Kluyveromyces lactis: one gene and its partners. The protein of the gene in region 1 interacts with the protein of each later gene in a pairwise test. Links are inferred from orthologs where the notes say so. Each region holds a gene or a part of one and is shown in the gene's direction. Other genes may lie near its edges. The genes, in order: RVS167, NVJ2 and ABP1.

Evidence for each region.
Region 2: the proteins of RVS167 (region 1) and NVJ2 interact in binary tests that used the Saccharomyces cerevisiae proteins (3 or more experiments, as listed by UniProt). The link is inferred for Kluyveromyces lactis from reciprocal best matches to the Saccharomyces cerevisiae genes RVS167 and NVJ2.
Region 3: the proteins of RVS167 (region 1) and ABP1 interact in binary tests that used the Saccharomyces cerevisiae proteins (3 or more experiments, as listed by UniProt). The link is inferred for Kluyveromyces lactis from reciprocal best matches to the Saccharomyces cerevisiae genes RVS167 and ABP1.

What each region holds. Positions count from the first base shown.
Region 1 is NC_006041.1:280,003-283,432, forward strand, and holds RVS167 (amphiphysin), read left to right. Parts: upstream 1-1,540; coding exon 1,541-2,827; downstream 2,828-3,430. Other genes in the region: CIN10 (Cin10p), read right to left, coding at 1-585. UniProt on the Saccharomyces cerevisiae protein: Component of a cytoskeletal structure that is required for the formation of endocytic vesicles at the plasma membrane level.
Region 2 is NC_006039.1:1,364,247-1,368,366, forward strand, and holds NVJ2 (Nvj2p), read left to right. Parts: upstream 1-1,241; coding exon 1,242-3,593; downstream 3,594-4,120. Other genes in the region: protein kinase MEC1, read right to left, coding at 3,634-4,120. UniProt on the Saccharomyces cerevisiae protein: During endoplasmic reticulum (ER) stress or when cellular ceramide levels increase, induces contacts between the ER and medial-Golgi complex to facilitate non-vesicular transport of ceramides from the ER to the Golgi complex where they are converted to complex sphingolipids, preventing toxic ceramide accumulation.
Region 3 is NC_006042.1:943,927-947,757, reverse strand, and holds ABP1 (Abp1p), read left to right. Parts: upstream 1-1,526; coding exon 1,527-3,257; downstream 3,258-3,831. Other genes in the region: KLLA0_F10198g (uncharacterized protein), read right to left, coding at 564-806; KLLA0_F10153g (uncharacterized protein), read right to left, coding at 3,410-3,831. UniProt on the Saccharomyces cerevisiae protein: Regulates ARP2/3 complex-mediated actin assembly. Recruits ARP2/3 complex to sides of preexisting actin filaments, which may promote nucleation or stabilization of filament branches. Binds to actin filaments, but not actin monomers.

The sequences.
Region 1 (3,430 bases):
CGCAAATTGCCCGCCAGTGATACTTATAGAGTTTAACGTAAGCATGGTGCCTCTTATCTTTGCCGGTGAAATTTCCGTTAAATATATTGGAATGCATTGAGCTGCGATGCCAACGGCTATACCAACGACCAGCCTACCGGTGACTAACATCTCGAAAGTGTAAGAAACTGCCATTAGCATCGATGAGGCAGCAAAAATGATGCAACAAACCGTTAACGTGTGTTTCCTACCGCATCTGTCAGCCAAGGGGAATGCTATTATCGATCCTATGAATGAACCAGCACATGTTATAGAAGTGATTATTTCCTTTTGCCAAATTTCCAAACTATGAAAGTTTAAATCCTTTGGATTCATTGCTATTAAAACCCCAGAAATTACACCAGTATCGTAACCGAAAAGCATCCCACCAATTGTCGAACTAACAAACATAATACCCGTCCTCCATGTGAATGGGTATGGTCGTTGTTCAATATCATTTGCAGTGGTGGTGGTCATCTGAGAGAAAGTGGAGTACAAATCCGAATACACATCTTCGACACTGCTATCTCGCTGCGGTGAGGAAGATCGTACAATATCGTCCACCATAATACGGTACCAGGTTAAGAGAATATATGCTGGATTTTGCTGTCCAACGGATTGTAAGAACGCCGCTCTATGAACAGATCGGTGGGATATTACAGCAAGTGTTTAAAGTTTGTAAATCTTTGTTCGAGCCTTGGAGTCAGAAAATGGTTTAAATCCCATTCGGTAATTTAAAGTGTCATTTACTATATTAAGACATTAAAATGAAAAGAGGACAAACAACATCTCCAATGACAGTAACTTCTCGAAACTACTTGTAATATCCATAACGAAACAACCGTTATGTAAAAATATACCTAACTTATATCCTACCAAGAATCTTGCTGCACTTTATGTACCTTGCTCCACAACTATTCTCAACCGAAGGGTACATTGACTATTAGCCTAGAGTCAGCAGGCCTAAAAAAAAACAAGGTCAAGCTTGCAGCATATTTGAGTGATACGCACTCAAATTACAACCAATAGGAGAACCAATGGGCGTTAATAACAGTATAGACCATCCCCTTAACTTTTCACAAGCCTACTGCTCAAATGCATTGGGCCAATTTCCGATGAACTAAGCCAAGCCTTTTTCCTTTCTGTACGCTTTTGCCGATGCACAATACAATTTCAAAAAAATTCAAACTTTGGACAATTTCAATTTCATCACTTTGGAAGGGCATGTAAAAGGGGCAAACTTGAAAGGCAACTGAAGCGGTATATATATCTAATCAGCGTGTCAACGAGTTGTCTGTTAGAGCAAATCTGAACTTAAATTAATCTTTCGAAGGACAAACAAGCGTCTTTGTCGAGGGAAAGAAAGTTAATTTATTATAAGGGCAAAGAGAGAGAGCACTCAAATAAAAAACACGAAGAACGTGAATTTAAACAGATAAAAAGCGTTAAGTTTTGAAGTTTAGAGCGTATACAGCGAATAAGAAAGCAAATAACAATCAATATATTTTCCCCCTAGAGAGTCATGTCGTTCAAAGGTTTTACAAAAGCTGTCGCCAGAGCACCCCAGTCTTTTAGGCAAAAACTGAACATGGGTCAGCAGACTGTTGATCCTGTTTATGAGGATGCTGATCGTCGTTTCAAGGAATTGGAATCGGAAACGAAGAAGTTGAGCGATGAGTCAAAGAGATATTTCAATGCCGTGAACGGTATGCTAGAGCATCAAATTGGATTTTCTAAGGCAATGTCGGAAATTTTCAAGCCAATTAGTGGTAAGATGTCCGATCCCAATGCCGCTGTGCCAGAAGACAATCCAGAAGGTATTGAAGCGAGTGAGCAGTACAGTGCAATTGTTTCTGAGTTGCAAGCTACTTTAAAGCCTGATCTAACTCTGATTGACGAGAAAATTGTTAAACCAGCACAAGAGCTTTTGAACATTATTAATTACATTAGAAAGATGTCCACCAAGAGAAACCATAAAAAGCTAGATTTGGATAGGAGCTTGAACACGTACAACAAATATGAACAAAAACAGAATCCAACGCCAAAGGATGAGGAGAAAAAATATAAAGCCGAGGCTCAAGTCGCCGTAATGCAACAAGAATACGACTACTACAACGATATGTTGAAAACTGAATTACCTATACTTTTCCAATTGGAATCAGAGTTCGTGAAACCATTATTTGTTTCATTCTACTACATGCAATTGAATATCTTCTACACCTTATACAACAGGTTCCAAGACATGAAGATCCCATACTTTGACCTGGATACTGACATCTTGGAGGCATTCCAAGCTAAAAGAGGCAACATTGAAGAGCAAACAGATGCACTAACCATTACTCATTTCAAGCTGGGATACTCGAAGGCCAAACTAGATTTAACCAGAAGAAGATATGGTGCTACTGACGACTCAAGTCCTGGAAGTCCAATGAGCCCACCCGCATACGGCCAAACATACGGTCAGCCTGAACAGCCACAACAGATGGGCTATGACTCAAAACTACAACAGCCGCAACAGCAACAACAGTATCCAATCGGAGGTGTTGCAGGTGCCGCTGGTATCGCAGGATACAATTCGGTGCCCACCACTGCGACCCAGGCATCATACACTCCTCCCACTAGTGCAGGAGTGGAGACATGTACCGCTTTATACGATTACACGGCCCAAGCCGAAGGTGATTTGACGTTCCCTGCTGGTGCCATAATCCAAGTCGTGGATCGTTCCGATGCAGCAGGATGGTGGGTCGGTGTCTACAATGGCGTCCAAGGTGTATTCCCTGGGAACTACGTCGAACTATCGAAACAATAATGAAAACAAAAGAAAACTAATCTCTTGGTCACTTTCCATTCCCTTTCTGCTGTGTATAGACTGAACTTGAAAAAAATAATAAAGCAAAAGAAAAGCTCTCCTAGCCTGTAGTTACTATATACTCTAACCTTGTTTAATTCAAGAATGCCCCATAGCTTTTAAAGGATACAGAATGCACATCACTATCGACGGAATTGACGATATTTGGTCACCTGGCAATAGTCAGACATTGCTTCATGGAGACGAAAGGGGTTCGTCAGAACCCCTGTCTACATGCCCCTATATTTCTACACATCACCAGTAGCAGAGCCAGCCACTAAAATCACACTGGTTTCCAAGCACACAGCAGGTAAGATGGAAAAGAATTCCATGAGAAAGTACACTAAGCCTTACTGCAGGAACAGAAAGAGATACGTCTCTATATATACTTAAAACCAGCTATGTATTTCAATGCAACAATTAGCTCCCACCATCACAACTGCTCCCACTGCAGTGCACACAACCAGAGCCTGAAAGCCCCCTCCCTTCAAAATACTTTGGATATCACTATCCCACTTCCTCCTTGCACGTCTCTTTCTAGAAGCCCTCTCGATCCTTTTTCAG
Region 2 (4,120 bases), on another chromosome or scaffold:
AGGAAAGCTGACGCTTTACCATGACCTGATTGGGCTAGGTCAAGGAAGCCGTGTACGTAGAGAATGGCATGGGAGAACTTTTGTGGCTTTCTTTTCAAATTGTGGGAGTTTCTCTGATTGAATGCAGTTGTTGTCCAGGCGGACAGCGAATGAAGAAAGTGAGAACAAATATGTGTTCTGTTTCCCTTTTTATTTTCTGTTTGCGGTGATTAATGTGAGAATATTACCAGTTGTTCCGACTGAATAGTTGTATAACTACGGGTCGACAATCTCTTTTTATCGTTAAGTTTCAGCCTTGTATGAGCACCTAAGATGAAATAAGACTTAAGAAATGCTGGAACGCCTTTCTGAAATCTTGTATCAGTCCCTGGTAGGGGTTACGACCTCTGAACAGAAAATAATCCGGGGAGTTCAACTTCCTTCATTCTCTTTGCATCAACGAGTTGCTCCATGTAATTGAAATAAAAAAGTTCAACAACTGATGACTTTTGTTTTCGACCGGGCGGACATATTTAGTATCCCATCATCACTGTTTTCTTTAGAAACAGTAGTCGCGTTCTCTGTGTACAAAATTTTGAGGATGTCGGTGACGGGAGAATTGATGAATGGTCGCCAGATATCTGATGTTGATACTTTTTCCTCATGCACTCTTTTTATGCGAGGTACCGGGCGGGCATCGGCTGATGCCCCATGCACAATGAAAGAGAACATCTTGTTCTTTATTAAAACAGGCGATCCTTTCATGTGCATGCCTACCAACGAATAAAAGTTAACTAAAACTGACTAAACTATATTCTTCTTTTCGTGATGATTTTCTTATATTCACACTGTCTAAGAGTGCAGTTTAAGTACTGTATCTCAATGAACACACAAACGAAAAAACTGATTTAATGACTCTGATTTAGAAAGAATATATCATAAAAAATTCATCTTGTTTAGCATATACTCGTACTCTTGTTAAAAATTTCCTGGTAGTATCTTCCATAAGTCTAACTTAAGTAGCTCTTGGTCCTCTACCGTAAGTGTAAATGTTAATCCTCTTCTGTTCAAGCCTCTTTGTCACTTCTTTTAACGTTAAGGTCTATTTACCTTTTAAATTTCAGAAAGCAAAAACCCGTTTCAAAGGTGCTGTATATCGATCAAATTAAGTTAAAGAAGGGGAAGTATAGAGTCAATTGTCAACGAAATTCAACATTAACCAATCTCTCACCATCGTTCAGGGCACCAATTCTTCAGTAAAGATGACATCTTTAGCTGGTTTCATTTTTGTATATGTGTTCGGTGGTTTAACGTTCATTCCGATTACTATTGCTATAGTGTTCTATCTGACTAGTTCACCCAAGAAAGATGTCGAAAATGAAGAAAACGATAAGCTGGTCGTTGATGTGGATTCTAGTTTCAAAGCAGGTGATTTGAATGAATTGAAAGGTGTTGCTACCAAGAAGCAGGGTTACCTTCATATTACGAGGCAGTTTTATCCTCATCAAACTGATCTTGATAACCAAACTGAGAATACTGATGACGCAGAGTCTAACACCACACCTCCGTCAGCAGAGCAGCAAAGAACTAGGGATAAGTTGAAGAAGAAGGACAAATTCTACGCTGTCTTGAAACATGGCAATTTGTTTCTTTATAAAGATTTCTCACCTGAGGCAGGACCGCAGCAAGTTATTGTTTTAAGTGATGCCTTTATTTCAATATGGCCTCGAACCGTCTCTCCTCAAGACGATACACCAATTCCAGATGGTTCTTTGTTTACCAAGAAAACATGCATCTCCATTTGGAAGAAACATACCGCATATATGGATCAGTCTAATCGGCTTCAATTTCGTAGAGGTGGTCCCTCAGATCAATTCTTCATATACTTGGATTTAAACACAGATAAAGAAGATTGGTACTTCGCTTTGATACAGGCTACAAAGATGGAGAAAGGTCCAAGAAGTCCGGTAAACTCTTCTCACTTCGAAGTTGAGAAAGCTCTTTCTGCAGAATATGCTGCTCAAACTGCTCATTTCAAGACTAAGGATATGCTTTATTTGATACAGACTTTGAACTCTACTGAAGGGCAGCATTCTTCCCAGTGGTTCAATGCACTCATTGGGAGACTTTTCTTATCATTACAACAAACAGAAACGTTGTCTAATGCAGTAAGAGAACGGATCTATAAGAAGTTGAAGAAAATCAATAAACCGGGATTATTGGATGATTTCAGTATAGAGAAAGTTACCGTGGGGAATAGTGCCCCAGTGATATCAAATCCAAAACTTCTTGATTTAACTCCAGAAGGACAAACAAGGGTTTCCTTTGATTTTTTGTACACCGGACATTTGCATTTGATTATAGCTACTAAGATGAATATCAACCTTGGTTCAAGGTTCAAAAAGCGAGAAATGGATATAAAGCTTTCCATTACCGTTAAAAAAGTGGAGGGTCCAATAGTAATTCTCATCAAGCCACCTCCAACAAACAGGCTTTGGTATGCGTTCCAAACTGAACCATTATTGGACATCGATGTCGAACCGGTGGTTAGTACTAGGCAGTTGTCTAACAACATGGTAACTAATATGATTAAATCCAAATTCAAAGAAGCAATTAAAGAATCAATTGTGTTACCTTACATGGATGATATGGTATTTTACAAAACGCCATCTGAATTGTACAGAGGAGGTATCTGGGAATCAACGAAACAAAAAAAGGATACAAGTTATACCGAAGACTTTGAATATATCAAAAGTGAGCGACAATTTAACACAGGGTCTTCTGTTCGCGAGAACAATGACATATCGAACACCAACTTAGCCGAACGGCAGTCGACTAACTCTGCTGTTGACTCACCAACCGTCGAAGAAAGTGAAAGCACCATTAACGAATCGTACAACACAGATCAGCCACAAACGTCTACGGATAGTACTCGATCATTCCTGAAAAATAAAAGTAACGATGATTCAAATGTATCTATAAGATCTAGGTCTTCAGTTGATTCAACAAACTCAAACGCAACCAAAAGGTACTTGCAAACAGGTATGAAAAAGATCGGAAGATGGTATAAAGAGCAAGTAGTCACTGTGAAAGAATCGTTGAATAGTGACGAAGAACTTCATCATCCAGATGAACCAGAGGGTACAGAAGACCAAGTTGGGGTCATTAGTACTAAAGTAGCCGAAAAATCTGAATTACTAGAGAACGAAGCTTCAATTCCTGATGCTGCATCTTCTTTGAAAGTAGAGACATCTTTTAAAACAACTGAAAAGCCAACAACTCCAGAAATGATAACCAATAGAAGAGTTCCTAGAAGCAAAAATTCATCCATTGATAATTCAAAACAAGAGACTTCACATCACACTTCAGAGTCTCATCGTGCCGAGATGTTTGTTAACAGAACAAGAGCCAGGTCAACATCTGGGTCTTACTCCCCGACATCTCCAGATGTTTATAGGAGACATGAGATGAGCTACTCATTTACAAATAATGAAAACCTGAATCCGCATTCCATCACATCTTCAGATATTCTCGAGGAAGCAGAGAACATGATCCCGGAAATCAACGCACAGGTTCGGAAAAAACGCCCTCCTCCTCCATTGCCTCCACGCTAGAAACTTTGTAGAAAATTGTAACATAGATTTTAAGGAATAATTACCAAAAAGGCAACCAACCGATATACATTTTACTTAGATTTTCCACCGAACATGATTCTTGAGTGAGAGCTTCCACTTGCCCACTAACACTCAAAGCCAGTCCATCACGGGCATCAATGCCTCTAATTTTGTCTCGAAGAACTTTAAGGGCGTTTTGTATTGACTCATCGATTTTCCTGTCATACATAATAGTTTCAATTATGTTTACAAGACCTATTTCATTGTTTCTCATGACTCTTAGAGTAACTTCACTTGACTTTTTGAAAGTACCCTCCGTTCCAATAATACCAAATGCGTCAGTAATATTTTGCGTCAATCTGAATGGAACAATTTCTGGAACAGGAAGCTTTTTACCCTTCTCGAAAAGACAGTCAAAATCAACATGCAAGACTCTTCCTGTCAAGACATCCAAAAGGATATTTTCACAGTGTCTATCCCCGAGACCCAATATATGGCCGACCATTGCCATAACAGAGTAAGATCTG
Region 3 (3,831 bases), on another chromosome or scaffold:
AAGTCCCAATAATTTGAATGTTGAAAGCTCTTTGAACACGGTTAAGATTCTAAATTAGTTACGAATGCTTGCAAATGTTTTGGCTAACACCCACAATTTAGGAAGGTATCGCATAGACATAGTCACGTGATACAAATTCCACACATGTATTTTCTTATGAAACGACACTCAAATGGGCAACTGACCGTCAGTTAGCGACAATTGATTGTCCTTATACATAGCTTCGTTGTATAGTTTGTTTGAAAAGCCTTAATCCGTCCTCCCCCCCATTTTCTGTGATATTTTCTTGCCGAAATAGGATTCTAATGCTCCACTCAATATGCAACTTCGGTGATAACTGCTAAGTGACAAGTTTCGGACATTTTTATTTACATCTTGCGTCATAAAGGCCAAAGGAACGGGGAAAAGCCAATTTAACAGCTTCAAAATCGGATACAAGTTCTTTTTGCAGTGGAGAAAAAGTAGTAGATGGTTTCGAATAACCAAGTTCGTCTGTAACCCCACCATCGTCATCAGCCGCGGGGGAAAAGGAACCATCACCGGTAGAAATAAATTTGTTGCCATTACATATACGCCCATAAATCGATGAAGGCTTGTATTAAATCGTATTTTGACCATATATGATATTTACTCGATCTGAATCTTGTCCTTGGGTTCGATAATTTCTTGTATAATCTCGAAGAAGGCCTATTTTTCAAATAGTGCGTCAGTGAATACAAACCTGCCGGTATCGATATTATCGATTTCGGAGCTTGTCTACCAGTACCTTTCTCAGAGTTGCGATGGCATAGTTTCCTAACATGCATATATGAGAATCATGAACGTGGAAAGTCGTTCCGGGATCAGTTATTGTGGTAAGGCCCCCATCATTATAACCAATGTTTAACTCAACAGTGATTTCAGCATAAGGTCCGTTTCGTAGTGGAAAATAAGCTGAAATCTGGCCGGAGAATAATTAATAGAACATCGAGCAATTTGAAATTCTCACCGACAGTTAATTTCCTGTTCCAACAGAAACATCATCACAGCTTTATTCCAAAAAATAGTTATTGATTCCTTGATAAGAAAACTCTTCATAAAGCTAATAACAGTTTTGCAATATCGTTCTCTACTCTGACCGCTGTTCATGGTACTAAATATTACCCGGTTTCATGTCAACCGCTGTTTCTCTAAATGAAATCTGCACGAATTTCTCGAAACTAAAACCACAGTTCATATTCCGGGTAACCTATGAAATAAAATCTTGACAATTGTCTCCTATTCGCCATGAATGCAATATTTGAACTAGGTTAAATTATTAAACATGAATCAATCCACTGCTGTTTGGTGGAATGATTGTACCATCCTACCTTTATATATATTTAAACAAATATAGAAATATCTTAAGACAAGAATTCTGCAAAGTCAATTGAATTAGTGTGTGTTTTTGCCAATTTACCAGACAAATTTGAGGTGCATTACGTTCCTTTCTTGTTGTTATTGATCTTAAGTTATTATAGGGTTATCAGTCTGGCATAGCAATTACGATGGCATTTGAACCAATTGACACTACTACACACTCGCGTGCCATTGAGGCCGAGTACCTGAAGGTTGTGAAGGGTGATCCAGATACTACTTGGTTGATCATCTCGCCAAATTCTAAGAAACAATACGAACCTGAACTAGTCGGTACTTCTTTCAGCGAGTTTTTGCAAAGTTTCGATGATACCAAGGTTCAATACGGTTTAGCTCGTGTTTCTCCACCAGGTTCTGATGTTCAGAAGTTGATTTTAATTGGTTGGTGTCCAGATTCCGCTCCATTGAAAACCAGAGCTTCATTTGCTCAGAATTTCGGTGTGATCTCTAATCAAGTGTTTAAGACCTACCATGTTCAGGTTACCGCCAGAGATGAGGATGACTTAGATGAATCTGAATTGTTAATGAAAATCAGCAACTCCGCTGGTGCCCGTTATTCAATTCAACAACAAACACCGGCCTCCAAGAAGCCAATTTCCTCTGCTGCCAAGACAGCCAAGAAACCAGTCAGTGTTTCATCCAGACAATCTGAGCAAAAGGAACCTACACCATCGTTCCCATCAAGAAGATCCGTTTCTCCCCCAAAGACTGAGAAGAGCAGAGGTAAGAAGGACGATGAATGGGGTGAACCAGAGTTGGAAGAACGTGATTTCGACAAGAAACCACTAGAACCAAATTCTTCTTCCTGGAAACCAATTGGTAAAGTTGATCTACAAAAAGTGATTGCTGAAGAAAACAGTAAAGAAGATCCCCGTCTAGTTGTTTCGGGGCCTAATTACGACAAAAAGATTGATCCTCAATCTGAGATTGCTAAATTAAAGCAAGAATCCAAGCTAAAGAGGGATGCAGAATACAACAAAGTCTTGGGACCAAAGAGTTCTTCCTCAGCTCAATCATCAGGAAACGATAGCGACGATAAGGTGATCAAGGGTTTCAAGAATGAAAAGTCACCAGCTCAACTTTGGGCTGAAAAGAAGGGACAAAAGAAACCATCTAATTTAGAGAACAAGACCCAAAGAGAAGAGTTCTCAGATTCTAACGAAGAAGAAGAAGCTGAAGAAGAGATTGAAGAGGTCAGATCAAAATTTGAATCAATTAAAACTAAGGAAATTCCTATCATAAAACCAAGTGACTCTAGCAGATCTAGACCTCAAGCTTCTAAGATCAACTCATCTGACAGCTGGACCAAGAAACAGAACAAGTTTGGCCAACCACTACCAGGTCTGCATGATCAAAAGAAGGAACAAAACGATGACTGGAGTAGTGATGAGGAGGAACAAGAAGAAGAGGAAGAAACTCCAGCTCCTTCGTTGCCTGTGAGAAGAAATGTTCCTCCCCCACCCGAAAGCGATGAGGAGGAAGAGGAGGAGCAAGAGGAAGAGGAAGAGGAAGAGGAAGAGGAAGAGGAAGAAGCTCCTTCTCTACCAACTAGGAGAAATGTTCCACCCCCACCGGAAAGTGACGAGGACGAAGAAGATGATGATGAAAGAGCATTTTCTAAGTCTCAAAATACTCCTCCATCTCCAGCACCAAGAGCATCCAAACCTGGAAAGAAAGAATCCGGACCATCAGCTATTGCTGAATATGATTACGAAGCCGGCGAAGATAATGAATTGACTTTTGAAGAAAATGAAAGAATCATTAATATTCAATTTGTCGATGATGATTGGTGGTTGGGTGAACTTGAATCATCAGGTGAAAAGGGTCTATTCCCAAGTAATTACGTCAACTTAGAGGAATGATCCAATAAATTACCACTACTCTAACTTTATCATTGTTAATAAATGATGATGTTATAAGTTGGTGGGACTTTGAAATGAATATATCATGTATACTTTACAAGTAAATAATGTTAAAGAAATAAAGTACAAAAGTAAACTAAACAAAAGTCTACTTATTTGCCTTTTACAATTTCAAAGTTCATATCTACTACGCTCACTTCTTCTCCAGCATCGTCATCATAATCATACCATTCGTTTTCGTCGTCTTCAAACTGAAACTCCATTTCCTTCTTCGAAACTAGTTCAGCTACAAAAATAGTGTCAGCAGGTTCAAATTTAGTTACTTCACATCCTCTGCAGTCAAGCTCGAGCCAAACAGCTTTTTCCACAGGAACAGAACGTAAGCCAACCTTCTTTCTGTCCTTTTTACCCTGTTCAATCAATTCGAAATTAGATTCTTCATCTAAATTATATAAGTCTTCCTTAGTCCTGGTCAAGTTTATTGAACACTCATTGCCACAAAATTTACATTTCATCACGAACGAGGCATTTCCTTTACTTCCAGGCATGTCATGAGATTCAAACCTATTGATTC